Linked DNA regions of Ovis aries. The protein of the gene in region 1 purifies or fractionates together with the protein of each later gene. This does not show direct contact. Links are inferred from orthologs where the notes say so. Each region holds a gene or a part of one and is shown in the gene's direction. Other genes may lie near its edges. The genes, in order: RB1, KDM5A, E2F4, TFDP2, KDM5B, ARID4A and E2F3.

The links.
Region 2: the proteins of RB1 (region 1) and KDM5A purify together in Homo sapiens (affinity purification with western blotting; 4 studies listed by BioGRID and IntAct, with this or other methods). This does not show direct contact. The link is inferred for Ovis aries from reciprocal best matches to the Homo sapiens genes RB1 and KDM5A.
Region 3: the proteins of RB1 (region 1) and E2F4 purify together in Homo sapiens (affinity purification with western blotting; 10 studies listed by BioGRID and IntAct, with this or other methods). This does not show direct contact. The link is inferred for Ovis aries from reciprocal best matches to the Homo sapiens genes RB1 and E2F4.
Region 4: the proteins of RB1 (region 1) and TFDP2 purify together in Homo sapiens (affinity purification with mass spectrometry; 4 studies listed by BioGRID and IntAct, counting the BioPlex papers as one, with this or other methods). This does not show direct contact. The link is inferred for Ovis aries from reciprocal best matches to the Homo sapiens genes RB1 and TFDP2.
Region 5: the proteins of RB1 (region 1) and KDM5B purify together in Homo sapiens (affinity purification with western blotting; 3 studies listed by BioGRID). This does not show direct contact. The link is inferred for Ovis aries from reciprocal best matches to the Homo sapiens genes RB1 and KDM5B.
Region 6: the proteins of RB1 (region 1) and ARID4A purify together in Homo sapiens (affinity purification with western blotting; 3 studies listed by BioGRID). This does not show direct contact. The link is inferred for Ovis aries from reciprocal best matches to the Homo sapiens genes RB1 and ARID4A.
Region 7: the proteins of RB1 (region 1) and E2F3 purify together in Homo sapiens (affinity purification with western blotting; 9 studies listed by BioGRID and IntAct, with this or other methods). This does not show direct contact. The link is inferred for Ovis aries from reciprocal best matches to the Homo sapiens genes RB1 and E2F3.

What each region holds. Positions count from the first base shown.
Region 1 is NC_056063.1:18,457,889-18,462,149, forward strand, and holds the start of RB1 (retinoblastoma-associated protein), read left to right. Parts: upstream 1-1,461; 5' UTR 1,462-1,663; coding exon 1,664-1,791; intron 1,792-4,261. UniProt on the Homo sapiens protein: Tumor suppressor that is a key regulator of the G1/S transition of the cell cycle. The hypophosphorylated form binds transcription regulators of the E2F family, preventing transcription of E2F-responsive genes.
Region 2 is NC_056056.1:213,125,843-213,130,070, reverse strand, and holds the start of KDM5A (lysine-specific demethylase 5A), read left to right. Parts: upstream 1-1,428; 5' UTR 1,429-1,815; coding exon 1,816-1,980; intron 1,981-4,228. UniProt on the Homo sapiens protein: Histone demethylase that specifically demethylates 'Lys-4' of histone H3, thereby playing a central role in histone code. Does not demethylate histone H3 'Lys-9', H3 'Lys-27', H3 'Lys-36', H3 'Lys-79' or H4 'Lys-20'.
Region 3 is NC_056067.1:34,396,008-34,400,041, forward strand, and holds the start of E2F4 (transcription factor E2F4), read left to right. Parts: upstream 1-1,234; 5' UTR 1,235-1,307; coding exon 1,308-1,442; intron 1,443-1,861; coding exon 1,862-1,971; intron 1,972-2,112; coding exon 2,113-2,274; intron 2,275-2,599; coding exon 2,600-2,643; intron 2,644-3,370; coding exon 3,371-3,432; intron 3,433-3,649; coding exon 3,650-3,947; intron 3,948-4,034. UniProt on the Homo sapiens protein: Transcription activator that binds DNA cooperatively with DP proteins through the E2 recognition site, 5'-TTTC[CG]CGC-3' found in the promoter region of a number of genes whose products are involved in cell cycle regulation or in DNA replication.
Region 4 is NC_056054.1:247,417,130-247,421,397, forward strand, and holds the start of TFDP2 (transcription factor Dp-2), read left to right. Parts: upstream 1-1,468; 5' UTR 1,469-1,818; intron 1,819-4,268. UniProt on the Homo sapiens protein: Can stimulate E2F-dependent transcription.
Region 5 is NC_056065.1:79,352,134-79,356,170, forward strand, and holds the start of KDM5B (lysine-specific demethylase 5B), read left to right. Parts: upstream 1-1,237; 5' UTR 1,238-1,357; coding exon 1,358-1,546; intron 1,547-2,376; exon of another isoform or gene 2,377-4,037. UniProt on the Homo sapiens protein: Histone demethylase that demethylates 'Lys-4' of histone H3, thereby playing a central role in histone code. Does not demethylate histone H3 'Lys-9' or H3 'Lys-27'. Demethylates trimethylated, dimethylated and monomethylated H3 'Lys-4'.
Region 6 is NC_056060.1:68,644,036-68,648,143, forward strand, and holds the start of ARID4A (AT-rich interactive domain-containing protein 4A), read left to right. Parts: upstream 1-1,308; 5' UTR 1,309-1,458; intron 1,459-1,855; exon of another isoform or gene 1,856-2,446; intron 2,447-2,553; 5' UTR 2,554-2,604; coding exon 2,605-2,610; intron 2,611-4,108.
Region 7 is NC_056073.1:36,829,729-36,834,026, reverse strand, and holds the start of E2F3 (transcription factor E2F3), read left to right. Parts: upstream 1-1,498; 5' UTR 1,499-1,574; coding exon 1,575-1,955; intron 1,956-2,844; exon of another isoform or gene 2,845-3,175; coding exon of another isoform or gene 3,176-3,193; intron 3,194-4,298. Other genes in the region: uncharacterized protein LOC132658271, read right to left, coding at 808-1,311.

The sequences.
Region 1 (4,261 bases):
GAATTCACGTCAGAACACAGCTGTATTTTATTCATAGCACCTCAGTTGGGAAGCTCCTAGCGGGCAACCCACAGCATCTGCCAGTGATACAAAAGCAGATACTCAAACTAGGCAATCTATTAGCATAAGTAAATACCAAGAGACAGGAGACACAGTTTCTAAGTCAATGTTTGGCCATAGTAATTCCTGCAAACTCTTTTCTGGTGTCTTTGTGCCTTGCACATGCTATTTCTCTCTTCTTGGTGTTTTCTTTAACACAACGTATTGGCTCAGACGGTAAAGCGTCTGTCTACAACGCGGGAGCCCTGGGTTCGATCCCTGGGTTGGGAAGATCCTCTGGAAAAGGAAATGGCAATCCACTCCAGTACTATTGCCTGGAAAATCCCATGGACAGAGGAGCCTGGTAGGCTACAGTCCATGGGGTTGCAAAGAGTCGGACACGACTGAGCGACTTCACTTCACTAATGGATAAGTAGAGTCACATATATCTCAGTTCAAAACCTCTACCACCCATCGGCTGTGTGTGTTTGTGTGTGTGTGTGTGTGTGTGTAAGTAACTCAGTCGTATCTGATTCTTTGCGACCCCATGGACTATAGCCTGTCAGTCCATGGAATTCTCCAGGCCAGAATACTGGAGTACTGGGCAAATGAATTAACTCCTCTGAGCCTGTCTTCCCTATCCAAAGTGTAATACGACTACAACTCATTTTAAAGGGCTGTTTCTGAGGATTCGGTAAGATAATGAGATAAAATGGCCAGAACAATCCCCTGTGCACATAGTAAGTCCTCCTTAGATGTGAAGTCCGTCTGGCAAACTTCTACTCAAATGCCCCTGCTCCTCTGAAGATGTCCTTAAGGCGTTTCGATGGTGCTTCCTGGTTTTACGCTACTATTAAAACCGCGCAGCACCTTGTCATCAGTTCTTTGCCCGCAGCCCCCACCCCTCTTCCCTCAAAGAACTCTCAAAAGGCCAGTTTCGTCGTCCCGTACTTGGTCTCCGCTGGTAGTGGGCAAAACCCAGCTCCTCATAGGTGTCCCAGAGGCAGTTTGTTTTTGTTTTGGCTGACTTCGCTTAACGGATTGGGCGGGAGGAGCGCGGGCGAGCGGGAGGGCGCCGCCCACGGAGGAGAGGGGCGTGCCCGCCCCGGGTGCGCTCGCCCGATACTCCCCGGCGGGGGCCTCGGCCGCAGCCCCGGACCCACCCGGCTATAGCGAGGGAGCCCGCGCGCACCCACCGGGCCGGGTAGCGCCCTTACCCGGCCACCCACGCCCGCAGGGGCGAGTTTCGAGGCGAGGCAGGCTGAGGCGGCGGCGGCGGCCGCTGCCTCCGGGCGGGCGCCTGGGTTGCAGGCCCGGGGCTGCCCGCCCGCCCGGCGCGCGCCTCGCCTCGCCTCGCCCAGCACCCCGGTGCCCTCCCGACGCCGGCGGGCCCGCGAGCCTCGCGGACGTGACGCCGCGGGCGGAAGTGACGTTTTCCCGCGGTTGGACGCGGCGCTCGGTTGCCGGGCGGGGGAGGGCCGGCCCGGTTTTTTTCTCAGGGGAACGTTCAAATTATTTTTGTAACGGGAGTCGGCCGAGGACGGGGCGTGCCCGAGGTGCGCGCGTCCTCTCCCTTCTCCGGCCCCACTCCAGCACCCGCCGGCGCCTGCCCTGCGAGCGCGTCATGCCGCCCAAAACCCCCCGGAGAGCAGCCGCCGCCGCCGCCGCCGCCGCGGAGCCCCCGCCGCCGCCGCCGCCCCCTGAGGAGGACCCCGAGCAGGACAGCGGCTCCGAGGACCTGCCTCTGGCCAGGTGAGCGGGCCGAGCCACCGGCGGCGGGCGGCGAGCGGGGAGGGCGCCCCGAGGCTGCGTCGGCGGCAGCCGCGGCGTCTAGGCGGGGGCGCGTCCCCGCGGGGCGCCGGTCCCGGCGGGAGGACGGTCCCCCCTCTACCACCCCTCGCGGCGGAGCGCCGGGAGGGAGCTGACAGGGGTCTGGGTGCGGGCGCCGCCTGGGAAGGGCGGCCGGGAGGGGGGTCTCGGCTCCAGCTTGACAGGTGTCGGGCGGGTGGGGCTCGGGTCGCTGAGCGAAGTGACAGGTGCCGCCTTTGCTCCGCGAGACGGCCCTGCGCATCCGGCGGGTGTTTCGAGACCCCATCACACGCAAAAGAGGAAAAAAAGAAAAGAACTAACTGGTGTTTGCTGGATAGGTTTTTTTCCCCGTTGAGATTTGTAGTCCTCCAGTGGTCTTTTGACTTTCTCTTTTGGTCTCTAGCGATGCAACAGTTGGAAGTGCCCCCCTCCCCCCACCGCCCCCGGGCGCGCAGCTGTATCTGAAGCCCAGTCCTGGGAGAGACAGTCAGAAAAGCCTTGGGTGCAGCGGCAGAGATGCCCGCGGACGTGAAGGGCAGGGTCCTGGGTGTCGGTTACCCCCCAGGAAGCTCGGCTGAGGCGCCTTGTGGCGTTCTCTTAGAAGGGGCTTTTCGGTCTTGGGGATTCATGGCCATAGGTAGTGACTGGTGGAACGTAACTCTTTAGAAAGAACTCGTACCTGGGCAAAAATATTGTGAGACGTTTAGCCCAAGAGCTTAAAAGTTCCTGAACTTTTCTCTTGTTTTCTAGAACTCTTCTTGCGTATTTTCGTTGGCTTCAGCGTGCCTCGTTATTTCTTCCATTTTGCCTTTCGGCTTTGAGCCAGCAAGGATCCTGGTGTCCTTGTTTTTTTTTGTTTTGTTTTGTTTTGTTTCGTTTGTTGGAGTACAAAACGAGTGTTTTTGTGCTCACGTGGAATTATTTTTCTTCTCGTAAGTGGATTCTAAATTTTAAGCAAGTCTACGATAATGCAGTGGAACTTTGACAGGAAGATAATGTATTGCAACATCTTATTTTTCTTGATTGTGATGCTTTATGGTTAGAACCAAAAATTGAACGAGTATAATTATCCATTATTATTGTCAGAGTTGGCCCTGCTTTGAGACTGCACATCAATTACAGGGAAATGGGACTCCTTTCTGTCTCCCTCCCACAGTCCTAGCCCATCAGCAGGCCCTATTTCTCTCACCTTCCCCTGCGCTAAGAGAATTCGGGACAAATTGTTAAAGATTGGGAAAAGCTTTTGGAAATGGCTTGTGAAAGGCTATTAGAAATTCATATATGACTGTCTTATCAATTAAAAATCATTCTCACTAGTGGGAAAAAAAAAGAAAGCCCAGGGATGTTCTAGGAGAAGACATTAGTTTCTGATTAAACTCTGATATGTCCAGTATTTTCCAGTTTCCTTTTGGTAAGAGCAGTGAAGTCTACTGCAAAGAACCCTGTGTTATCCACAGAGCTCGGAAGCATTCTTGAATATTGTGGAGTAACCAGAAATACTGAAGTTCTGGCCAGCACCTGGGAAAAGAAAGTCTTTTTTCCTTCTATTTTCCAGCATTTCATTTTATATACTTTAAATGATGAAACTATCACAAATTCTTTAAGTCAGAACCATGCAAGATAAAGTCTGTTCTTGATCTATCCTTACCCATAAAATGTGTCCTTATGGGCTATCAAACTACTGGTTAACTACTTAACAAAGATAGAACCACTGCCTGGCAGTCTGAAGCTGAGAACTTTACCTGGGGTGGGTTCAGGGCCCAGTCCAATTGCATTTCCAGTGATGGAGCCCATGCCTACTTTGAGAGTTGAGAGTTTACTTAAGGGAAACAGCACACCATCTTCATTCTTGAGATAACCAAAAGTTAATTATGTTTCAGAGAAGGGTTGGCAGTCTGGAATAGTGCTCAAGGGCAAGGATTATAGAGTTAGATTATTGGGTTTCTATCAGGGTTTCTGACATACTGTTTGTGATTTCAAGTGAGTGCTTTAACTTCTCTGATTTGGTATTTATCTGTAAAACAGGGTAAGAGGACTTACCTAATAGGCTGATGTGGGGATTCAGTCTACCTTCATCTAAGGTACTTTGTCTGGGATCATAATAAATACTAAAAAATTATTAGCGATTCCTTGTACTATTATTATTAGAGGTCAAGTAGACATTAACTGATTGAAAAAGAATTAGCCAAGAAGAGTTTTTTGTCTGCCTGTCTTGGTTAAGGAAAATCAGAAAGAAAGCTTGAATTTAATCATCATCTAAGAACTACTAGTAAGTAGATTAAATAAAACACTGTGAAGGGTAGACTGCATTTTAGCAAAAGTTAATGATATTGAATTGGTTTTGTAATATTATCTATTGCTTTCCTCTTGCTGTTAACCAACCCAACTTTCCCAGTTTTAGCTCTTGTACTTA
Region 2 (4,228 bases), on another chromosome or scaffold:
TGGAAGTAACTCCTACCCTTTGATATTGAGGTAACAAGTTTTCATTATATATAACACAGCTTCTATTCAGATGTCATCAGTCTTGAGCTCTTCTCTGGTCACCCTATCCCCATTTAACACCCTTTCACACTCTCCCTTCACTACTTTTTAAGGCTTATGGCCACTGAGAATAGTATATTTATTTGCTAGTACTCATGATTTTGTTTCCCTCCGTCAGAATGTAAGTGCTCTGTGAGGGGACATACTTTGCTTTGTTGTTCATTGTCCATAGATTCAGCATTTAGAAGATCGCCCCAAGCAGATTCTCAGTAACTTGCTGAACGCAAGAACCCACGTGTAACATTTCTCTCCCCCGCCCCTGCCCCTGTGCGTGTCCCCTAGTTAAACAGTGCTCTGCTTCTTGCATTCTAGCTCTATCAATGCGTTACCACCAATTCACATGCCCCAGGGTCCTTCTCAATCCACCTCTCTCTCGCAAACTCCTCAACATCAGATTATGCGTAGTGAGGGAGGAGGAGTTAAGGATTATTTCTAGATTTCTGGCTCAGGTCAAATGAGTAGATGAATGAAGTCATCCATGGAAACTGGAAATACTGAAAAAAAAAAAAAAACAAAACAACCCAGTGGGGAACTATGAGTTCATGGTTTACCAGAGTGGAGTTGTCTGGTAGGTAGATAGATATATTGATTTGTGGCCTAGGAGAGGAATCCAGGCTGGAAGTACAGATTTGAGAGTCATAGCTGCTAATTTAGTTCGTGGGGGAAGTTGAGATTGCCCACGAGGAGCATGAGAACAAGCCCTGGGGGAAGTAAGTCTTCCTTCCAATAGATACAAGAACTGCCTTTTCACGGTTTCTTCTTTAGTCCTTCCTGCGTTACTCTCCACAACTTGCAGGAAGTGGAGATGGACTCTGGCAAAGAATGTTTGACAAGCAGGGCCGGAACAGCTGGTGTAGTTGTTACAGAAAACAGAGACAGGCTTACGGCGCATGGCTGCCAGAGAGCGACTGCTGTTGAGAAGCTGTGGGGGTTGTCAATGATTCGAAAAGTCAACAGCCGTTGCTTCTCTGTGGACGAAAATCAATTCCTGGATGGTGGCGAGGGCCGGCCGGTGAGAGATATGCTGGGATGGCTGAACCTGAAACTGTTGCCATGGAGATGGGGCGGATTAAAAGTGACCGAGTGGGATGAGAAAGGGACAGTAACAATGAAAGGACTAAAAAAACCAGACGCTGTTATCTAGAAACAGGTGGACACGGAAGTTGAAACAGGCAGCCGGGCGAAGACAGGCAGCTTGTGTTCCAGTCCGTACGTACACAAAGAAGGGCCCAGCTCAGCTTTCCGGAAGCAGAACCTCTGTCCCCGGCGCATTACGCGTCCTCCGCGCCGGAAGAGCGCCCCGTGAGGCCGGCCGCTCCCCTACCGCCCAGTAGGAGGGGCCGCAGGGCTGTGCCGCCGGGAGTCGTGGACAGCGCGGAACTTCGACACACAGGGAACTCAGGAGCGAGCCGAGCTACCGGGAGAGGGAAGGGGAAGGAAGGTCGCCCAGGAGAGCGTCGTTGCGGAGGAATCCTGTTTTCTGGCGGCGGAGGGATTTGGCCGCACGCTGACTTCCGGCGAGCGTCGACCGGAGAGGGGGGAGAAAATCCTGAAGGAAACAATAACAAACGCCAGAGGAAGCGGGGTCGGTCTGCGAGTGTGGAGCGGGTCTCTTCCTGAGAAGATGAGCTTCGGCCCCTGTCAGGGGACGTGAGCGCGACCGGTGGGGCCGCAGCCCAGCTCTTCTCCGCCCGCCCCGCGGACCCCGGTACCGCCATGGCGGGCGTGGGGCCGGGGGGCTACGCGGCGGAGTTCGTGCCGCCCCCAGAGTGCCCGGTGTTTGAGCCCAGCTGGGAGGAGTTCACAGATCCCCTCAGCTTCATCGGCCGCATCCGGCCCATGGCGGAGAAAACCGGCATCTGCAAAATCCGACCTCCCAAGGTACCGGAGTCCCGACCGCCTCAGCGCGGCCTTCCGGTCCGCTGTGCTTTCACGTTCGCTCGCCCTGGTCTGTCGACACCTGGACGCTGAGTTTATCTGTTTCCGTTTTGGTTTCTTTGGGGTTTTAATGTCGGCTGGTCCGAAGGCGAGAGAGGGATGTCCCCGGGGCCCCTCCGCCCAGAACTTGGGAACTGATACTCTCCTTCCCGTCTTGGGTTGTGGGCAAGGATAACAAAGGCTTTCGGCCTTTCGTTGGCCTGTAAGGTGATGGAAGCGTTGTGACGCGACAGCCCGACCCGCGGGTGTGTGTGTGTGTGTGTGTGTAGTGTACACTCGTTTCTGTACGACAGGAAAAGCTATGGTTCCGACGGCTGCTGCTTTCTCCTAGTCCTGTTGACGCTTAATTGATTAAGTGTTCGCGGGCCTCATCTCAGGCTAAGGTTTCTTTCCTCAGTGGTAATCTGAGTTCTTAGGCCCTTGGGATGGTATCACCAAACAAGAACCCCAGACTGATTACAGCTGGAATGAGAAGTCTTCCCGGGGAAAGAGAAGGCGCAGCGTTTATTGTAAAAATTCGGAGGTTTAGAAAGAATTGATCCATAACGGAGGTGGAAGAAAACGTTGAAATCTTAAAAGATATAAAGAGTCGCAACTATTGGCAGATAGCTGGGTTTGCCCATAGGTTGGTTACGATCCTCAGTCTTTCCGGTGAGGAAAGCTGATACTGTGCCTTGTTTTGTGGGGCTCAGTGCCCCAAGAGGTTGAGGATTTGGTCAAGGTCGGAAGGTTTCTTTTCCCTCTGCCCGTTAGGTCCAGTGCTTTCCAACGGGTGTTTCTAATCCACTTGCCCCAGGGGCACCCGAATGTTCGTTAAAATGCAGATCTCTAGGCCCCATTCCCAGTCTAGAACCAGTTTCTGGATATGGAAGTTCTAGAATTTGCATTTCTAGCAGGTACTCTCAGTGCTTGTGAATGTCTGTGAGCCATGCCCAAGTGCTTCTTAAAGTGATACCTTGCTTTACGTTTTGTCTCCTAGTAATTAAAATTTTGTCCTTTTACATGTTGTATTTTTAAAAGCTTCGGCTTTTACTACCACAGAAGCATGCAGCGCAGTGAATAAAAAGAGGTTACCTGAGAGGGAGGAGAAGGAGCAGCTACCATAGCACTTACAGATTTTTTTAATAGCCTTTGAAGCCCTCCTAAGTAAATAAGGTCTCATTTTACAGATGAGGCGAGTCTGGATAAGTTAAATAACTTATCAGATGTGTGATCTTGGGCAAAGTAAATTTTTCTATCTGGATCACTCAGTTTGATTCTAAAACCCAGACAAGCTACTTCTCTTGTGCTCAGTCAGTTTGGTTAAGATTATTGACCATCACTCAAGCAAAAGATTAACAAGTAACTGCTGTGATGAATGATGGTATGTGTATTGCCATCCTCCCAGAACTTCACTTTTATGAAAAATTTATTTTCACTTAATCCTTTGTTTTTCATGATTACCTCAATGACAAAACCTTAAGCACTGAAGCTTTTCCTGAACCATATTTACTCTGTTGTCTTCATGAATTAGAAATTCTATTCAAGGTTCCTTTTGGTTTAAAAAAAATTCACTACTTTTTGTTACTTAAAAAAAATTGAAATAGTATATCTTTGTGTCACATTATTATTATTGAAAATAAATGTTTAAAAGCAGAATTTAATTTCAGTATTGGTGGATTTCTTTAGTTTCCAAGATAAGATAATTTTTTCTTATTTATATAAGATAATTTTTTAAAAACTTCTTTTCACATTTTAAAGCAGATTTAGTGTTATTTAGACCAAGTCAAACTATGGTCTCTAGAACTCTACTTGAAATGTGCTATCTCATTTTAGTTATACCACGTCTCCAATCTGGAAATTGTCCTTGTTTTGTGGGTTTGCTTACTTTTTTTTAAATTTTCATTTTTTAAAAAAAATTTGGTTGCCCAGAAGCTGGGCTTTGAAGAGAACATTTACGTAACGTAGACTTTTAAAGTGCTGTGTCACATTCCACATGAATGAAAAAACACATTGTCCAATTACATAAGTACTTTTAAAACGTTATTTTTTGGTCTTCAATTTTACTCTTTTCATTTCTTTCAAATTCTGTTTTCTTTTTAATTTGATAAACTTGGATTATTCGATGCTGTATGGAGATGAGCTGATTGCATTCCAGTTGAGTAATTGGGGAAAGCATAATTTTGCAGTATAAATAATGGAAGTGGGAGAT
Region 3 (4,034 bases), on another chromosome or scaffold:
AGATGGCAGAGAGGGGTGGAAGAGCTATGAAAGCTTGTTTGTCTTGGAGATAAAAGGAGCCATGAAAGGGACTGGTGCTGCTGCTTAGCTGCTTCAGTCGTGTCTCTGTGCCACTCTATGGACTGGAGCCCATCAGGCTCCTCTCTCCATGGGGTTTTCTAGGCAAGAATACTGGAGTGAGTTGCCATGCCCTCCTCCAGTGGAACTGACTACTAGGTAGTAATAATGCTGTGGACACTGGCTACCACCCAAATCCACCCTTCAGGACAAAGACACTCATTCCCCTAGCTGCCCGAAATGTAGGCTAATGAGGTCTCAGATCTGAGTCTCTTGGTCAGTGTTAGGGTATAAGGGCCAGGTAGGCCTTGGAAGGGGTACCCCAGTTTCAGTGCTCCTAGAAGGACAGAGCCCTCCATTTTAACTTCCTCACAGTTTAATTCTCCTCTCTGCCCTGTTTGGCCTGTCTTATTTCCTTACAAGTGTGGCTTCTCAGTAAACTTCCTGCTGGCACATCTCTTTCTCAAAGACTGTTTTCCAAAGAACTTGACCTAAAATAAACTATAATAAATGATAGTGTTAAAAATAACAAAATGATACTAGCAAACACATAATCCTTCCACATGCCAGAAACTGCTCTAAGGGCTTTACATATATTTACACATGGGTAAATATGTTTGCATCGGTTGAAAAGTGGTTTTAATCCCATGGCCTCTGAGCACTGTAGTGTGGAGACAAGAGAAAGGCGAGGCTGGGATCAGGGGAAGAAAGTGGGGATGCAGACAGGTGAATAAGCTAGATGTAGTTAGTGCTTGCTGTTTGGCAGGAACTGAAGGACAGGAATAAGGAGGGTAGGTGATCCCAAGAGAGTGGGGCAGTCTTTTAGGAGCAGGTTTGGGAAAACACATTGGGTTCATCAGGCAGCAGGGTCTCCTCTCCTGAGATGAGGGTTGGGGCACAGTTAGTCGAGTTGGGTCAGGTTTGCCAGCCAGGAAGGTTCCAGTGATTCCTCCTTACTGCTCCTGAGGCTACCCAACGACTTCCTCCACATGCTTCCTCGACCACATCTGTCTTCCGGGATCCTGGGGTTATTTTCGTCCTCTTCGGCGGTTGGACATTTGATGATGGTCCCTCAAGTTTTTCGGCCATGTCTGCTGAGAGGAATTGTGACGGACTCCCTGGAAGGGAACGAAGCGGAAGCGGAAGTAGCGAGGCTGGCGCCGGCGGCCGAGCAGCCAGGAACGGAAGCGGAAGTGGCGGCGGCGCCGGCCTGGCCTGGCCTGGCTGAGGGGAGGCGGCGGGCGGGCGCGATGGCGGAGGCCGGGCCACAGGCGCCGCCGCCCCCAGGCACCCCAAGCCGGCACGAGAAGAGCTTGGGACTTCTCACTACCAAGTTCGTGTCGCTTCTGCAGGAAGCCAAGGACGGTGTGCTTGACCTCAAGCTGGTGCGGCCCGGGCTAAGGGACGACAGGGGGATGGTGGACCAGGCCTGAGCCGGTAGAGGGAACCCCCGGGGCGGCCCAGCTGAGCCCTCAGAGCAGGCCGCCATACATGTGCTTCTCACAAGCGGGAGGCCGGGAGCTGTTTCATTCATTCGGCTAAGGCTGTTCATCGGATGTCAGCTTTGTGGCAAGCTTGAGGCTGCGGGTGGTAGTCCTCGTGGCCCTTTCCAGCAGGTGTGGGGAAAAGAGCATCGGAACATCAGCTCAGGCTTCGTCTGGCCTCTTCCCGCCCCACAGTCCTGAGCTGCTGTAGTGCCTGGGGAGGAGGGCTAGAATTCAGGCCACCCCCTTTCCAGACTACTCCAGACCGAGTCCCCCGTGAGAGTGGGACTGAGCATTTTCCATTCTCTTCTCCTTGCCAGGCAGCTGACACCCTAGCTGTGCGCCAGAAGCGGCGGATATATGACATTACTAACGTGCTGGAAGGTATCGGGTTGATTGAGAAAAAATCCAAGAATAGCATCCAGTGGAAGTGAGTGGGGGCACCGGGGTCGGCAATGGTATCTCCTACCCAGAAGTGTCAGGAGTGTGGGGTGGAGGGTGGCAGAGAGAACAGGGGCTGTAGGACCCAGAGTGCCAGGCAGTCCCTCTTAGCTCTCCTTCCTGGATTCAGGGGTGTGGGTCCTGGCTGCAATACCCGGGAGATTGCGGACAAGCTGATTGAGCTCAAGGCAGAGATCGAGGAGCTGCAGCAGCGGGAGCAAGAACTAGACCAGCACAAGGTGTGGGTGCAGCAGAGCATCCGGAACGTCACAGAGGACGTGCAGAACAGCTGATATCCTCTTATCGGCGGTCCTGGCTCCCGGGGAGTGGGCGATGGGCCCTCTAGTCCAGCTGGGTGTGCTCTGTGTCCCCTAGTCTCTGTCCCACTTGGGAGGATGGTCCTCCAGCTCCTGGCCAGGTTTCAGCCTCCGGTTCCCTCCTCGGAGCCTCTCCACCCACAGTCTTGGCCTGTGATCCCTCCCCCATGTAGACCCCAGGCCTCAGGGCTTCTCTTTGTGAGCATGTATGTCAGACCTCTGCTGCAAAGCTGGGTCTTCGCTGTGTCAGTTATCTGTCACCATAGGCAGGGCATCAGCCATTCTCCTTAACCCCCACACCTTGGCCTACGTGACTCATGAGGACATCTGCAGATGCTTTGCTGGTGAGCAGAGCCTGGGTAGGGGGAAATGGGGGTGGGACTGGGCTGAGCCACAGCCCTGAGCAGTGGACTCGGTGCTTGAGAGATTTCCGTCTCTTAAGAGGGTTCCTGGGGCCTGCTCAAAGAAGAACCAGACAGGGTAAGGCCTAGATTTGAGGATCTCTGGGACCCTATGGAGGCTCACCATGCTGAGAGGGTACAGGAAGCCTGGACTGGGTCTCTGGGTCAGCCACCACCTGCATCGCCCCCTAGGTTTGGCTTCTCAGGTGTGACAGAAGCATACGAGGGGAGAAAGTGTGTGTGCCTGTTTGTATATGCTTGTGTGCAGGGGGCAGTGGTACCCACTTCCAACCTGTAGTTTAGTTGCACTGTAGGTACAGGAACTCTTCCTCGTCCATCTTGCATCTCCCAGGCTGGTTCTGGGGAAGAGCTGTTGGCCTTGGCCAGAACATCTTTGCCTAGGGAGCAGCCCCATCAATTGAATGAGGTGCCCATGGCCACTAATCTCTTGCTCCACATATCTGAACCCAGATTTTCTGGTTACTGACCTTTGGGTTCTTAGGAGAGAAAAAGCTTTAGTTTTCTCCCCCAGCCTCAATAGGGAGTGAGTGAAGCCTACTGTCCGCCCCCTCCGGGACTATGACGTCCTTCCTTGTTCTGAGGGATAGGCACCCCATTCCCAGTTCAAATTGAGCCCATGGGCCTTGATCCATCGTCTTTGTCATCCTAGGAGACACTCTCCTTGCCATCCGGGCCCCGTCGGGCACCAGCCTGGAGGTGCCCATCCCAGAGGTGGGTGCTCAGCCCAGCCGGGTGGGGTGGATTGAGGGCGGGTGCTGGCTGTGGAGCCCGATAAGTCCCGGGTGGGGCAGGTAAGGGGAGGCCTAGGGTTTGAAGTTATCTAGGGGAACGGGCAGCCCAGGGTGGGAGAGGATACTGGCCCTGGCCCAGGGTCAGGCAGGAGCCAAATCTGCTTCCAATTCCACCTGTCCTCCACCCCCACATTCAGGGCCTCAATGGGCAGAAGAAGTACCAGATTCACCTGAAGAGTGTAAGTGGCCCCATTGAGGTGCTTCTGGTGAACAAGGAGGCATGGAGCTCACCACCTGTGGCGGTTCCTGTGCCCCCACCCGAAGACCTGCTCCAGAGCCCGCCTGCTGTCTCTACCCCTCCGCTTCTGCCCAAGCCTGCCCTGGCCCAGCCCCAGGATGCCTCACGCCCGAGCAGTCCCCAGGCAACCACCCCCAACCCTGTCCCCAGCAGCACCGAGGCCCAGGGGGTGGCTGGTCCAGCAGCTGAGATTACAGGTGAGACACAAGGGGTATGTGGTAATGAGGGACTTCGGGGACCCAAGAAGCAATGTTTCTGTGTGACGAGATGAAATACTGAGAGTT
Region 4 (4,268 bases), on another chromosome or scaffold:
TGGTTTACAATCCAGCTCTCCTGCTAGACTGAGCTCTTTGAGGATGGAGGTTTCATCTGTTTTGCTTATTTTTGTATCTTTGTCCCTAGAGTGTTTGAAAAGTATTTAAGTTGAAATCTCAACAAAATTTCTGTGGAAACTACATCTATTGATCCATTACTGAAAAATGCAAGGTAATGACTCCTTTGGGGCTTTTGCATTTTAGAATCAGTTCAAGGAGACTTCATTGGGCTTTCTTGACCGCCTAGGACTTTATCTATGTACAATTATGCAGAAATTATCTCACCACCGCTCCACCCCAGAGAAAGGTCCAAAGGTGCATTCTCACCTCCCCCACTTCCTTTAGGTATTTATTTAAATGGCACTTTCCTGCTACCTTGACTGAGCACTCTAAGACAGGCCATCCCTTAAAGCCATTCCTGGTCTACTAGATTTGTTCTCCACAGCGTGTCGCAACATGTAACATAGCTTATATTTTGCTTATTTCTTTTGCCTATTATCTTTACCACCCCACTAAAATGTAAGTGAAGTGAAATGAAAGTCGCTCAGTCTCGTCTGCCTCTTTGCCACCCCATCGGTTACACAGTCCGTGGAGTTCTCCAGGCTAGAATACTGGAGTGGGTAGCCTTTCCCTTCGCCAGAGGATCTTCCCAACCCAGGGATTGAACCCAGGTCTCCCGCGGTGGAGGCGGATTCTTTACTAACCGAGCCACAGGGGAAGCCCACTAAAATGTAAACTCACACATGATTTTTCAGATAGGCACAGAATGTATTATTAACATTGAACTAAATAGACAGGTATTTGAGGGTGGGAGCTGCAATTTTCTTTTCAGCGTCCATGTGACATGATGACCTGGTCAGGTTTGGATCTTACTTGCCGGGTTGTTGAAAATCTCACACCCTAGCAGTCTTTAACCCACTGTCTGAATAATTTACAGGGTACTGCAAACTTGGCCCCACACGTGGCCTCATCACTCGTCCCCTTGCCCCTCTAGGCTGCTCCCCCAGAGGTGACTGATCAAATGACTGGGAACCGAGATGTGCCTGGGAACTAGGGACGCCCGTTTTCCTTTTTCTAAGAAAGATCGGGGTTTTCTTGCAAGGGGCCGGGGGGATGGGGGCGGATGGAAAAGTCAAGATTCCCACCCAGGCCGGGGGAAGGGGGAGAGGGTGTGGCTATAATTTTAGGCCTCAGGCCTGTAGCCTGCTCCGGAGGCGGCTGGGAAGCACGCGGCAGGACCGTTGTAGGCGATCCACTGAGAACCTCCAGTGGATTATCCGGGTACCCCGCAGAGTGCTTGAGACCCCGCTCCTCCACCTCGGGGGCCCCCTCCTCTCTTTGGGAAGCCTGGAGGCGGGGTTTGTTTACTCCGTGCACGCACCGCCAGCCTGGCCAATCCGTGAGGAGAGGCGCCGTACGTCATTCACCCAGAGGGCCAATCGGCGCTCACCGTGCTGCTCCGCCGCCAAAGCTTGCGCGGGGGAAGCGGGGCCGCGGCTAGGCCGGGCGAGGGCGGACGGAGCCGCCGAAGATTTCAGCTGCAGCCGCTGCCGCTGCTCGGTTCTCGAGGCGCGCCCTAACCCTTCCTCCTTGGGCAGGCTCGAAGGCGCGCGCGCGCGGTCGGCGTCCCGGGGCTTAGAACTCCAGGGCCTCTACTAGGCAGGCCGCGGATCGCCCACCCTTCCCCGAGTGTGAGTCCGCCTGGGACCCGGGCGCCGCCAAGCGCGGGCGCCACTGTAGCAGAGGGGCCTGAAGACGCGCTCCAAGCTCGAAGAACAGTCCTGCGCGGCCGCCTTGTCCCCTGCAGCCAAGCGGTGGTAAGGTCCAGGGCGCGGGCGCGGGCTCCGTGCGGCGGGCCTCTGTACCCGGCCCGGCGTGTTCTTGGGCAGGTTTCCCTCCCTGCCCCTCCGGGCCCCCTGGTCACTCTGGGTCCCATCTGTTTATTCCCACGCAATCTTCCAGGCCCGGCCGAGTAACCCTTGAGTGCCTGGGGAAGGGAGTGGGAAACCCGAGACTACCCCCCACCCCCAACACACAGCAAATTGCGGGGAGGCACTGTCCTTGAGTCACGCCTGCTGGAAGAGAGGAAGGGCTGCTTTCTACTTTTTCGGTATCTTTAGGGCAGAAGAATGGCTTCTAAGTCTGACTTTTCCGACTTCTCCTTTCATGACCCACATGCCTCCATCTGTCTCTACCAGGTGTATTTCAGAGTTCCAAAGCCTCGTGCGCTTGGAAGAGCCTTGCAACCTCCACAGGGGAACTTTCCTCTAAAGTAGGGGATCACTTTTGGGCCCAGACTCTGAGAAATTCCATAGATTTAAGGTTCCTTTCCATAGAAAAGTGTAAGATTTTTGTAGGATCTCGCAGGGAGAAGTGCAGCTAAGATGAACTCCCAGTCTCTGGTACCAGCTTGTGTTCCCGGGCGTTGTGTGGTTCAGTTTCTTCATCTGTAATAGTAACCCTCTATTGGGGGTGGTGCCAGGAGGAAATGGAGTAATTGGTGGAACTATTTGGAACGAAGTTCGCGTCCTACGAAGTGCCCTGCCCTGCATGAGTTAGGCATTGAATTGACCACCCTGAATGATGGTTTAGAAAAGTTCCCCCTATTGTTTTTGTTTTTTCCTGTTGAGACAGTTTCATCCCTTTCCGTATTCACTGCTAAAGCTCCCTTTGAGCCTTTGAATTCTTTTTCTTCCTCATTTTGTCTCAGAGGGCTCAGACTCCCTGTCCCACTTCTTTGCTCTCTTTTTAGTAAGTCAGTAGCTCATTCCCTTCCTTCCCCTTTCTCTCCCAAATCTTTGTGTGTTTTTTCCACTTGAGTTCTATAGCCTGATTTTTTTTTCTGGGCCACTTTTCTCATAATGGCTTGAAATCATCTTTACCTAATAGATACAGTTTAGGTTATTCATCTGTTCTTTATGCAGTGTAATCATGAGCCTACTGTACAAAATTAAATAGAAACTAATTTAGTTGATCTGTTATTGCATGTTGCTTTTCCATTTCATTGGTTGGCCTGCCATTTAGCTAAAGTTTTATCGCTATCCTGTTACTGTAATAAATCTTTAATGGCCGCGGCCATTCTTAAGTAGCACTGGGAGAAAAATCAAATGTCTAGACCCCAGATTCTATCACACTTGTGCGCTGGCGCTTGCTGCATGTTATTTATTAGAACATCTTGTGCCTGGAACTAGAGCCTAGTCTCATGGCAGACATGGTGTCTGTAGCCCTGTCCTGGCAGTACAGTTGCAGTTTCAGCAGTATGGTGCTTATATTTAATAAAGGCCCAAGACTTACTAAACTCTTGTTTTTGAGTTCTCATTATGTGTGGTTGGTTAATTAGGAGAGAAAACAGAATTTTCAAGTGTGTCATACTTAATGTTACCATTTTGTGATCATGTACCTTTCCCACCAACTCTTGGCAATGGTGACGGCCAGCTGGCACTTTCAAGTTTTTTTCCTTGCAGCCAAAATTCTTAACTGTCTGAGCTATGTCCTCTCAATGCAGCTTGAAATTGGATGTACAGATCGATTTATCCTTAATGTGGAAAGTGTTTGTGGATGAAAATTATTCACTGAAACACAACCTGAAGGATTCAAAGAGTAGAGTATGGTAAAAAACAGATTAAGCCCAAATTAAGTTCATGGCATAGGTTAGAACCTGGTATTCTAACTTCTAGTCCTTTGTTTTCTTAGTTTGTCAACCTTAACAGTTAACTGGCACTGAAAGATGAAAAGATTAAGGCTTGAAAGTAGAAGGAGGCACTTTGTAATTTGGGCATTAAATATTAGATATGAGTAGTACCTTAGTATCTTATTTTTTTATCTTTAAACTTAGGTATGTTTCTTTTAAAGATTAAGTAATAAGCCATTATTACTGATAGATCTTGTAGTCAGTTTACATTGTCTCTTGGCAAACGATTTCACTTTTTTTCTGAACTCAGCACCATATTTTAAGCTCTTATTGCAATGTATCTTAGAAGAAACTAGAAAGCATAGAGTTCAGAGTTTTGAATCATAGAATTTGAAGTTGTGATGAATTTTCTAGATTAAATATATTTACCTCTTATACTTGAATTCTTTCCATTTTAATCTGGGGTATATGATTCTAGGGATAGGACATAAATAGATTTAAAAGTAGATTTGTAAGCCCTTGAAAACTTTATACAAAATTATATGTATTTGGATATTTTCTGGAGAGAAGGTTCATAGGTTCTGAGGTAAAGATATTTGGACAACTTTAACTTCTAAGAAATGATTTCTTTTATTG
Region 5 (4,037 bases), on another chromosome or scaffold:
ACCCCCAGCTAGATTCTGTGAACACATGAGCACATTCTAACCTGCAATGTCACATCCTCTGTACACTGACGACTTAATAGGGTGCCAGCTGCCCTTGGTTTCAGCCTTCGTCGCCCTGGCTTAGCAAGATCCTAAAGCCCTAGACAGCAAGGGAGGGATCTGCCTTCTCCAAGGACCTTTGGGTTTATTTTAGAGCTTTCTGAAGAGGAGGCTTCTCCCCTCCGCGGCCTTTTGGAGGAAGGATCCTCAAGGATAAGACTTTCCTTCAGGTGAATATAACATCAGGGTTAGGACTCGGTTGACACCTACCTACTAAGGAGGCCCTGGCGAACAGTCCTTCGTGGGTTTGGCTCCTTTCTCGAGGAAAGAGCTCTTTTTAGGGTTGAAGTTCTACTTTTTGAATTCCCTCTCTTCCCTTTTCTGGGGCAGGACATTATCCTCCCCACACCAACCCCAGATGTGTCAAAAGTGTTATCATCTCTTAGTGAACTTCTTTGTGCCTTTATTGTCTGCTCTGCAAAATGGGGACAATAGCAGGGACTCCCGCGCGGGATGAAGCGCAGATGCAAGCAGCTAACATACCATTGTCCACACCCGCCGTCTTGTTGCTCAAGGAACACTCTTCCCTGCAACACCCTACCTTCCGGTTAGGTGGTGTCTCCACCACTTGTTGACCTATATGCAACTTGGGCAAATCAACTTGCGCCTCGCTGGGTTTATGTGTAAATGGAAACGAGTACCTGCCTCGTAGGGTTGTTGTGTATATTAAAAATTCATCATGAGAGCACGTGCAAAGGCCTAGTACAGAGTGCTAGTTTCTCAGCCTCCTGTTGTTTTCTCACCTCTGCGCTGTTGTCACGTTCGAGCTGACCCCTCCACCTGGAAAAGCCGCCTCCGGCCCCGACACCCCACGGCCCCAGGGGTCTGGCCAAATGTCTGCGGACTTCCACCAGGGCGCCTCCCACGCGGCGGGGCGGGACAGAGGGTCCACCCGTGAGCCCAGCCTCTCCCCCAGACCCGTAACTTCCTGAGGGAGGGAGGGGACTCTGGCACGCAGTCAACGGTCAGTGGAGGCCAGCTGGGCTGAACCGTGAGGCCGCGATCCGTGCCCGGGGGCGGGCGCTCGGCGCGGGCTGGGTGGGGATGGGGGTGGGGTGGGACTCCTTTTCCTCGCCGTGGCGGCGGAGGCGCACGGCGTGGCTGGGGCGGCGCGGCGTCGTCGGTCGGTGTCGGAGTCAGAGTCGGAGTCGGAGTCTGAGCAGCCGGATCTGAGTCTGAGGAGGAGGAGGAGGAGGAAGGCCGAGGCGTCGGAGGAGGCCGAGGCCGGCCACCCAGCCGCGTCCGCGGCGCCGCGAGGATGGAGGCCCCCGGCCCGCGCCCCGTGCCGGCCCTCGGCGGCCCCGGCCCACTGGGGGAGTTCCTGCCGCCGCCCGAGTGCCCGGTCTTCGAGCCCAGCTGGGAGGAGTTCGCCGATCCCTTCGCCTTCATCCACAAGATACGGCCCATAGCCGAGCAGACCGGGATCTGCAAGGTGCGGCCGCCGCCGGTGAGTCTCGAGCGGGGCGCGCGGCCGGCGGGGGTCCGGGCGGCCGGGCCTCGGCGCGGGGCGCGGGCCGCGGGGGCGGCGGACGGAGCGCGGCCGGGCCGGGGTGCGGATCCGGACCGAGAGGCGGGGGCGCCGGCACCGGGGTCGCGGCCGTGCGCCGACCCGCGCGGGCGGAGGGCGGCCGGGCGGCCGGGCGGCGGGCGGGCGCGGAGGCCCCCGGGCGCGGGGGCCGCGGGTGCGGGGCGCCGGGGGTGCGGGGTGCGCGCCCCGCGAGTTGTCGCGAGGAGGAAAGTTTTCAATATGGCGGCGGAGCCCCTGGTCCTTTGTGTGGAGGCGGCGGCGGTCCGGGCGGCCTCACCTGGCGCCCCACCCTCCGGCCCCGGCCCCCCGCCCCGCTCCGGACCCCCGGCAGGTCCTCGGGGCCGGGGGCGAGCCGGGGCGGCGGCGCCGTGCGCGGGCCCCGCGGGCCGGGCCGAGGGGGCGTGAGCGTGGGCCTCGGGGGGCGGCCGCCCCGAAGCTCTGCGCGACCCCCCGGCCCGCCGGGCCCCCGGCCCGGGAGCCGTCCGCGGCGCGCGGTGTCGCCCCGGAGGCCGAGGCCGGCCCGCGCGCAGCCCCCGGCCGGGGTGGGCGTGCGGGGGGTGTTCCCGAGACCGGCCCCAACGGCCGCAACGGCCGCCGCCCCGCCCCGCCCCGCCCCCGCCGCGGCCCCGCGGCGCCCACCTTGGCGGCCGTTGGCCCGAGCCCAACTGCCTCGGGAGGGTCTGCGGGGCCGGGCCGCCGCTCCGCCCCCGCCCCCGGGTGCAGCCCCCCGCCCCCGCCCCGCGCTCGCCCTTTGTGGTGACGTTGGAGCTGCGGGGCTCGCGCGGAGCCGCGGCGCCCGGCCGCCCCCGCCGCCCCCGGCGCCCCCGGGGCGCAGCGCGGACTGGGACCCTGGAGTGTGTCTCGGAGTAGTCGGAAACGGAGGTGAAATGCCCACCTCCGAAAATAGCTGGTCCGCTGGTGCGGGGGCGATGCTTGGAAATCGGTGCCTCTCGCTGCAGGAGTGGACACGGTCGCTCGCCGTTGCCGAGGGGAAGTGCGCGTCGGCTGGGGCCGGAGGCCTGCAGAAGTTGTGCGGGATCGGGGCCCGGGCTTGGTTCGGGAAGAGGAGGGCGGGCGCGGACAGGTGGCCGTGGAGCTTGGTGTCGTGCGTTAGGGACGCAGACTGTGGAGAGTGCTTTGCCTCAGTGGGGTCTCCTCTGGAACTAGGCAACCTGAGGAAGTTCTCGGCAGCCCAAATGCGTGCAGTCGCCTCCTGGGAGTGAGGTGTCCTCCATGTTGGTATTGTGGTGCAAACCCTTTATCCACTCTCTCATCCCGTGCCTTTTGGGAGGCTCTTTTCCTAAAAAGGTAGTGTTGCTCTGCCTAGGTTTGGCTACTCATTTCCTCATCTTGGCCAGAATACCAGTTGTAAGCCCTGCAAAACGTGTGATCTGTCTGTCTGTCCCCATTCTCAGTGTCTGACAGACGTGATGGCCACCATTTTGTGTTGAGAGAGGTGCATCCCGCAGCCCGAGACGGGGGTGAGGGAGGCGCAGATAAGCGCTCCACAAACATGACCAGTGCTGTGCTTTGGAGACCTCCTTTGTGTGGAGGAGGCTTGCTTCCTCCTTTGTTTAAGAAACTCCTGTGCCAACTGGAAAGAGTTTGGAAGTATTCACTGTGGATACAACCACAAAAAGAGAAACCTTTCCAGAAGCTGTAGCTCTTGAAGGAGGGTCTTGTTGGAACAAAGGCTTCCTAAGAGAAGAGGATGTAAGCAATGGTTGTTTTAGAAACCGTTTTCTGTGAAAAAGTGGTTTCATATAGTTGAAATAAACCAACAACAAACCAAGAGATAGGAAATGTTTTCCACGGTGATAGCTATATATGCTATAATGCTTGTGTGTCTAGATGATTGTGGCCACTGAGTTTCTGGAATATAAGTGACTGTTAAAATGAGGATTGGGTTTATTGGTATTTTACTTTTCAAAGTAAGGGGAAGAATTACAAAGTATTTCTATTTCTTTTTGTCCTTAACCTTTGCATCTTTAATTAATGGTACTTAAGGTAGCTTCAGTTTATAGCTGCTCCTCAGTGATGGTCCTAAACTACTTGGCTGTTGAAAACTTGAGGTTCACAGAAACTTGTTTGAAATATAGTAAGATAAATGTGATAAAAGGTAATAAATCAAAAAGACATTACTCAAATCCTGAGTTATGAGTTTAAAGATGGAAGTCAACCGTTTTTCAAATTACATCAAGTGTCTGGCTTTTTGGATTTCTTTCTTCAGTTTACAAGTAATCTGCCTTTTGGTTTTATCCTTATAATGGAAATTTTCATTTCCTCCTTGATGTACTTAGATTTCTTTTTAAGGACAAATTGTATTTTCCATGTCATTTTGTGGTATTTGGAGGTAATTAATTTTAGGGTGGTAATTATTAGGCAAAATCTAATAGGCTGGTCAGTGAAT
Region 6 (4,108 bases), on another chromosome or scaffold:
GAGTTTTCTGAAACAGAGTACAAGATCTTGCTCATGGAGCAAAATCAATAGCTGCTCTAACAAAGTCCTATCGAGGAGGTTCTTTCATTTAATGTTTTCAGTCCCCGCAAATCCACTGCTCTTTCCTTTCGAAAAGCAGCGTGAGCCCCGTGCACTCTGGCACTCCCATTTGTCTATGGTTAGAGCAGCAGAGTCGTGCTAACAAGGGAATTCGAATTTCTCAGCACCCAAACTCAGCGTTTCCTTCTGTCTCCTCATTGCTTAACCGCGTGAGGAGCACGCGGAAACACCTTCCCACGGAGGATGGGACCAAGAACCCTCCCCTCTCCATCTTAACTGGTGAGGAACCTTCTTCAGTCGGTGGCTTTGGTCGCAGAACATGACAAGCTGCCGAAACCACTTCCAAAGGGAGGACGCACTGCTCTGAGATGAGCAGAATCCCGAAAATCCCTCACCCTCCCGAGAGGAGCCCAAACGGTCAGCCCGGAGAAGGAGACGTGCACGTCCCCTCCGCCCCTTTCTCTGAGGCCGCGGGAGACGAAGCCTCGCCCCCTCTTAGCCCGTCCCCCGCCCCCGCCCGCGACCAGCTCCCCACCCCGGCGCAGGGAGATCTCTGCTATGGCCGCCGCGCGGCCCCCTCACTTCCGGTGCCGGTGCCGCTAGAGCTGCGCCATCCCCCAGTCTACCGGACAACCACCGCTTTCAACTGACCTTTCTGAGAGATCCGGACTCTTCCGACCTTCACTAGGTGCTGTCCTGGAGGAACCGGCGGATGGTTGCCGCAGTTAAATGAATTCACGGGATATAGATTCCGCTCTCCTCTCACCAGAAACATAAAATGCGATACAGCTGCGGCCACCTCTGCCCAGACAAAATGGCGCCGAGAAGCTGGTTCAGCGCAGGCGCCTTGGAAAGACCCTGCCCCGCCCCCGTGTAAGTCCTGGCCGCAGCTCCGGGTTCGGTTTCCATGGGACACTCCACCGCCAATCCTCGTGCCGCACTGCTCTTCCTGACCCCTCAATTGACCAATCAGTGCTCAGTCGAGCACATCCGTAGTCGTATTTACCAATCATTTTTCAGGACTTGCTTACTCAATACCTGATTCTCCAGTAACGTTAGTCTTCGGAGACAGCCAATCATAAGTGGAAAATGTCCTACCTGCTGTTTTTCGCACCAATCGGTGAAGTTTCAGAGCTACATCCAATGAGGACGGCAGGTAGCGAACTCCAATCCGAAACTCTTCGGCGTCATGAGCAGCCAATAGGAGTTCGTGTAGAAGCGAGTCTGCTCAACAGCTTGTTATTTGGTGGATTGTGGCAGTAAATCGGGCGAGTGGGGAACCCGGCGCAGGAACTGCCGCCGCGGCCGGGAGTGGTGCTTCCCGGACGGGGGCCCACGGGGGTCAGCGGGGCGGAGGACTCGGGAGCTGACAGCGAGCACTTCACCCACAGTTGGTAGGTGAGAAGAAGGGAAGCGAGGGTACTGAGTGGACGAAGCGGCACTAGCAGCTGGCGCTGCTGCCCGGGGTCCCGGTGCAGTTGGAAGCTTAGGAGGTGGGGAGGGGGATGCTTGGCAAGCGGGGCGGTGAGCTCCGGTGAAGGGGCTAGTCGTGGAGCAGCGGCAGCAACTGCAAGAACAGCCTCCGCAGCAACCTCCTCGGCCGCTTCCCCAGGTTCCCCGGGAAAATGGCTGTGGGGCTGGTCGCGCCGCTAAGTTTGCTTCCGCGAGGCGAGGAGCGGACTGATTAGGGAAGCCGGCCCCCAACTCCGCGGTGCGTCCTCCCGGGTGGAGTCCGTGGCAGGACCCGAGGGGCTGGTGGCTGGTACCGCTCTGGGCTGTACAAAAAGTTGAGGCGGGCGCGGGGAGGAGGCGGCGGCTGCCGCTGTGCAGCTCCCCTCCCCTCCCACACCCTGTCCGGGCCACCTCCCCTCCTCCTCTCCGCCCCCCCCTCCTCCCAGCTCGCTCTCCCTCGCGGGTCTGCCCTCCCTCGCGCGCCTCCAGGCTGAAGGCCACGGCCCCTGCCCCATTGGGTGAAGAAGCGCTTCTCCTTCCTGACATGGTGCAGAGCGGAGGAAGGAGAGCAATGGCGCCGTGACACTCCGCTGCCGCCACCGCGGGCCCGGGGCGGGCCGAGGGGGCCGAGCGGCGGAGGCGGGGCGCGGGCCGAAGTCGGGGTATCCGGGGGGCGGCCGAGAGAAGGCTGGGCGGCCGTGCCTGCGAGGAGCCCGGAGAAGCCCAAACGGCGCTCTGCCCTTCTCCGGAGCAACCCGTCCGGGGGCACTGAGTTGAGCATTCCGGGTCAAAGTGGCTAGCGAGGCGGGGGCGCGGTGGGCCGCTGGCGAACTCCGCGGTGGAACCCGCTGCCCTTTGGCGCCGGTGGGGTTCTCGCCGCTCTCTAGGCTCCTGCGTCCTGGCTGCCCTCGGAGGGGATCTTACCCCTTCCCTGGTAAGGGTTCTGCCCCTCCCCGCTGGCGTTTGTTTACTTTCTTTACCGGGGTCGCTCCCCTCCGTTGACTGATTCTGTGCCTGTCTTTCTCCTCCCCTTGGTTATAGCGACGGAGAAGATAGCTCGTTGAGCTGGAACCCCACAGATCGCCAGTGAAAATGAAGGTAAGTGGAGTCGACGCTGCTCGGAACCTCGTGCCCTGAACACTGTCTGTCGTGAGGCTGGTGCTGTGGAATGTCATTTTTTTGGCTACTCAAAATTGATTCCTCTACTAAGCAGAGCTTTCTGAAAATGAGGACGTGTTGAATGGGTAAGAGATGATCATTGTGTCTAAATGCGGTCAGTTTGGCCCCTCTCCGAAGCAGTTAGCACTTTGGACAGGCTGCTGCAGCCTTCCCATTGTTGTCCAGTGGGCTAGTATTTTTAAACACTTCCTGTGTTGGCAGCACCCTTTGCAGAAGTAAAGCTTTTGTCCTGCTTTGGTTCTTTGGGGGATTTTTTGAATTTTTTTTCTTCCCCAGTGCCAGTGAGATTTTCTAAAGAAGGAATGTGTGTATTGTGTTAGGGACATATCATTTCTTCTGGGGATAAAGTGAAATTTTGTGGCTGGAATATACTTGAAGGTGAAGGAAAACTAAATTTTGTATATTATTATCATAACTAATAGCACTTAATTTCAGTTCAGTCCTTACAGTAAATATTTTAAACATATACCCAACCTAAAAAAAATTCTTCTGAAGACAGCTGATATTGCAGACATCCTGTGATGTTTAAAGGGAAAGGAAGGTATATCAACCTGTAGTTCTGAGGTGTTGAATATTTGCAAAAAGTATTTCTCATCAATTTGCATTATTCATAAATGCACTAACTTTAAATTTGATTTCTTACTCATTTACTGTTTCAGTGTATTGAGCTCTGAAATACAGTATTTTCCCAAACTTCCTCTCGCTTTCCTATCTCCTTGAAGTTTTGAAGTGACAGTGTACCTTCTTTAATGTTAGTTGGGAAAATAGAATGAAAAATCATTTTCTGCTTGAAAGTATTTCTCTAAACTGTACACTGTCACCGTTGCACTTAGCAATGTTGAATTGAATTTGTATACATATACTTAACTTTTGAAAAAAGTTGGTAAAGTGACAGACTGAGATAGCAATTATTCCGTTACTATCAAGATTAAAATGAATGGAGAAATAATATTTCACATCTTTCAGTGTATCATTCTGATCATGACCATTTGCTGAAAGCAGGTATTTCTTTCTGAAACTTAAAAAAATATATACCAAGATTAGTGTAATAAACTTGGTACTACTACCATCAATTCACATCTCTGCATTAATCAGATAATTTAGACTTGAAGCTCTAAAATGCAGCACTTAGCCAATGGTTTTTCTAAATAATGCTCTCTTTGTCAAAAATATTGGCTTCATTAATTATCTATACTGTTACAGTGTATCCAAAATGTTGCCTTTATGTAACTATATTAAACATTTAATTATGTACTAGTTAGTATTAATTTTAATAGCATATTTCTTTTAATTTGAAAATAAAATTTTCAGGAGGCCATAAGTGAATAACTTAAAATTCTATGAGACAATATAAATAGACTTTTTTGAATTTTAAAATTTTTTCATTTCTTAAATATATTGTAAAATTGTTGAATCA
Region 7 (4,298 bases), on another chromosome or scaffold:
GCTTAGTCTCAAAGGCGCAATCTTCAATTTTAAAATCCATGAATACTTGCAGCAGCACAAAAGTCAGTTTGACAATAATTTAATATTTTTCTGGTGGCAATGTCTAGTTTACTTTAAAAAATTCTTTGAAAATATTTTGGAATAAGTTTAGGTCGTCCTGTCAGAGAACTTGCTAGGAAACCAAAATTGTAAAGTGCTGGTGCCAGGCGTGCAGCGTTTGTTTGGAGCAAGACGTCATCGTGGGAAGCATGTACTTCTTCGGATTACCGTTTGGCGGATTAGAAACCCGCCGATCAGTCCTAGGTTAGCCCAGATTAACTGCCCTGGGTGCTTCTGGGCCAGAGGGTGAGGAGGCGTTGGAGGTGTCTGCTGAACTCAAAATTCGTTATAAGATTTCACTTGGCAAAACATTCGGAGTTAATTTTTACTTAAATCCCATCAGGCTAATAATGAAACTACCAGAAATGATCTGGAATGGTTACTAAATGGTGCCCGCAACCACGTCAGTCGAACCTTCTGCCCCCACGATTCTGTCTGCCCACATGCTTCTGTCTGTCAGCCTCGGCCTCGGGATCAGCTCTTGCCGCATTGGTTGGATTTCAGGAAGGGGGAAACCCACGATTTAAAGGGCTCAGTTTCCACCTGCCAGGCGTCATTTGCAAGGTCCAACTTGCCTTTGGCGCACACTTGGGAGAATCTCTCGCTGTCGTTCACCTATTACGGTTACTGGTCAAACGAAAGCGAGTCCCCGAAAAGTGTCCCCTTGGTCACCTTGACAATTTCCAAAAGCGAAACTTGCGCTCTAGGTTAAATCCACACTGAGTCTGCGGGGCGCGGAGTCCCTGCCCAGGTCAGCAGCGCCCGCCCGGCTGGAGGGCGGGGACGGGGGAGGAGTCTGTACAAGGCGTGGTCTTCCGTGGGAGAGAAGGCAGACTTTACCCCCCACCGCCTAAAACCCACACTCCGCCCCAGCCAATCAAGGAAGCCTATGCAAATAAGAACCCTGTCGCCCCGACAACCATGATGCGCGGCAGCCAATTGAAACCGGCAAGTCGCGGCCCTGCTCCACGATTGGGACGGAAGGAATGAGACAGAGGCCCAATGGGCTGTGGGAACGGTCCTCGGCGGGTTGAGGGGCGGGGACATGCAAATATGGTTTGAAAAGCCGGCGGGAAATCTGAGTTTCGCGGGAGGACCTTGGCGCGTAAACCGTATCCCTTCATTCATTGTCAGCAGCAGCTTCCTGGAGCCATTTTTCAGCTGCCGGCCGCAGCACTCGGGCAGCCGCCGCCGCCTCGCAATCCATTGCATCGGCCGCCCCCGACGCCTCCATCCCCCCTCGGGGCCCGATATCCGTGCGGCCGGGACCCTCCTCTCTCCAGGGCCCCGATTATTTTTGGCCCCCGGGGCCCGTGCGGTGCGGAAAAATAAAAAGAAAAGAGAGAGAAGGGGCTCGGAAGCGCCGGGCGGGGAGGAGAGAAGGAGAGACTTGGAAACTCCGACTGCAAATAATAAAAGAAATTGCAAACAATACGTTAATATTACCATAGCAATAAAAAGAGCAGGAGCGAGAGATGAGAAAGGGGATCCAGCCCGCCCTGGAGCAGTACCTGGTGACCGCCGGGGGTGGGGAGGGGGCGGCTGTCGTCGCCGCGGCCGCTGCAGCCTCCATGGACAAAAGGGCACTGCTAGCCAGCCCCGGCTTCCCCGCCGCCGCCGCCGCCCCGAGCGCGTACATCCAGATCCTCACCACGAACACTTCCACCACCTCCTGTTCCTCCTCCCTCCAAAGCGGCGCCGTCGCCGCTGGCCCCCTCCTCCCCAGTGCCCCCGGCGTGGAGCAGACCGCTGGCAGCCTCATCTACACCACGCCGCACGGACCCTCCGGCAGAGCCGGGCTGCTGCAGCAGCCACCAGCGCTGGGACGCGGCGGCAGCGGCGGCGGCGGCCCTCCGGTAAATGCCCTCCCGTCCCCACCGTCCTCAGCCCGGGCGGGAGGTGGGCTCGCATTGCGCGGGGTGGTGGGCGCGCTGCGGGCCGCCCTTGGTGGGGAGTGCGGGGCCGAGCGTCTCGGGCCTCGGCGGCTGCCCCTCCAACGAGGGTTTATTGTTAAAGACTCGTGTGTTGACCCCCACCAGCACCCGGAGGGTCGGGGGGCTCCGCCGCGAGCGCGGGGCGGCGGGGATCGCCTTGGCGCGAACCACATCAAAAACTCCGAAACTTTTCGCGGCCCCCCCTCTTCTTTTCCTGCACTTTTCCCTACCCCCACTCTCCCCTCCCCTCCAACTCGAAGCTTCCTCTTTCTCGGGCGTAGGAAGGGGTCACGCCCCGGATGGAGAAGGGGGTGGAGGAGGGAGTAGGGAACTGGGGAGTGGGTGACTCCGGGGGGTGGAAACCGAGGTGGGGGCCCTGGGGGTGATGGCCCCCCCTTCCGGCCTCCGAGGCCCGTTGGCAGCCGGGGGTCCCTAAGGCGTGCTCGGAGTGCAGGGGCTCTGCCAGGTTGCGCTTCGACACATTTGGGGATCTGTTAACTCCCGGCAACAAAGGGGCTGGGGGGAGTGGAGGCGGGCGGTGGAGCAGGGAGCCGGGTGCGGGCGCGGGCGTGGGCTGTCTAGGGGGTGAGGGGCTCGCGGGCTGGCGGCCCCGGCCTGGGCGCATCCCGGCGGTGGCCGCGGCGGCGCCCGCGTGGCCCGAGCGCCCGGGCCTTCCTCGCCGGGCCCCGGGCCTGCCCTTGACCCGCCTCTCCCCTTGCCCCTTCCTTCCCCCCGCCCTGTCCCCCTCTCCGCCCCCCGGCGACGGAGGGCGGGGGCAGCCGTGTTCCCGTCCCGCCGCCTGGGTCTGTCCCTCTCCCCGGGACCCGCCGGTGACGTTTCGCACACGTGCGCGGAGGACGCGCCTGTGACTGGGGAGGAGGCGGCGGCGGCGGCGGGAGGGGGCGCTGGAGGGGGAGAGGGGGCACCCACTTCCTCCTGCTCGCCGGCTCCCTGGCCTGGGACCGTCCCGGCGCCCTCGCACCCGCCCCCGGCGCGGCCACCCTCCCTCTCCTCTCCCCGGCACCCCCCCCCCCTCCACGGGCGCCCGCCCTCGCCCGGCGCCGCCGGTCCGCTCGGCCCTCCGGGCCCCCTCTCCAGCCGGCACCCCCCACCTCCCCCCCGGAGCCAGGCTGGTTTCGGAAATGCCCTTACAGCAGCAGGTTAGTGACCGGGACGGCTCGGGGGGCCGCCGCCGCCGCGGGGGCACAGGATTCTGTTGGGGGGCTGGAGCCGTGAGGGTAGGCGGTTGAGCGGGGTTTTGGAGTGGGAACGGGGGGTTGGGTGCTCGAGGGAAATGAGTAAGCAAGAAAAATGTAACTAAGTAAATGCCCCGGCCTCCGGTTCTAGGAACCCAGGGGGCAGGAGTGTCCGCCCCAGGGGGTGGGTATGGCGTTTACGTGGATTTTTTCCTAGGGGGGCCGAGGGATGGGCGATCGGAGGGGGGCTTCTCGCCGATGGCCGAGTTGAGCTCTGTTTTCTGTCTTCCTTCCCTTGTGCTGGAGGGGGAGGGGGGCGGGTCAGAGGGTAGGGTGTCTGTAGGATTCCCAGGCCACCCGCCACCCCCTCCCTTTGTCCCTGTAATTTATAAAGCGCCTTTGAGAGATGATTTAGGTCAGTATGCGGCTTCTTTTTTTGTTGATACTAGAAAGAAGTGTGGCCGGGAGGTCTTCCCCCTTTCTCCTTTTCTCTCCTGCATTCCCTTCCTCCATGCCTCCAGTCTTCTCCCTCGTGGTGAGGCTTGGCCCCCACGAGGCTAGAAACGAACCAGACCCAGTTTAGATAAATGGTGGGTTGGTCGTACCCGTCGTTGACCTCACCTTGTCTCGGCTCCGAATGGGCTGAAATTTGGGAAGACTCAAGATTCTGCAGAGATCTTTAAGAGCGGCAGCACCCAGGCAGCACTTCGGGGGCAAGAGATGGGTCTGGGAAGAATGAAATATATTATTTCCTGACTTTTCTCAATTTCTCCTCGAGTTGGGTCTTTAGTGCTTTCAGCCCCGGAGATACTTGCTAGGGATGTGTGATACCTTCTCAGTCAAAGGAGCTCTCATCGCGTTTAGTGACTAGGGTCTGCCAGCAGGGGGGAAAAGAGTATAGGACCTGCTCACACATACAGTATCCACTGTGCCGGATTCTCAGTCACAGAAATATGCCACTCTTTTACTAACATTAAACACTATTACTGACTTTACCTAAACACGCTTGGATGTATTTCAAACATATATGCCCCCTACTCAGTTCTGCCCCTATATCATAAACCTAATC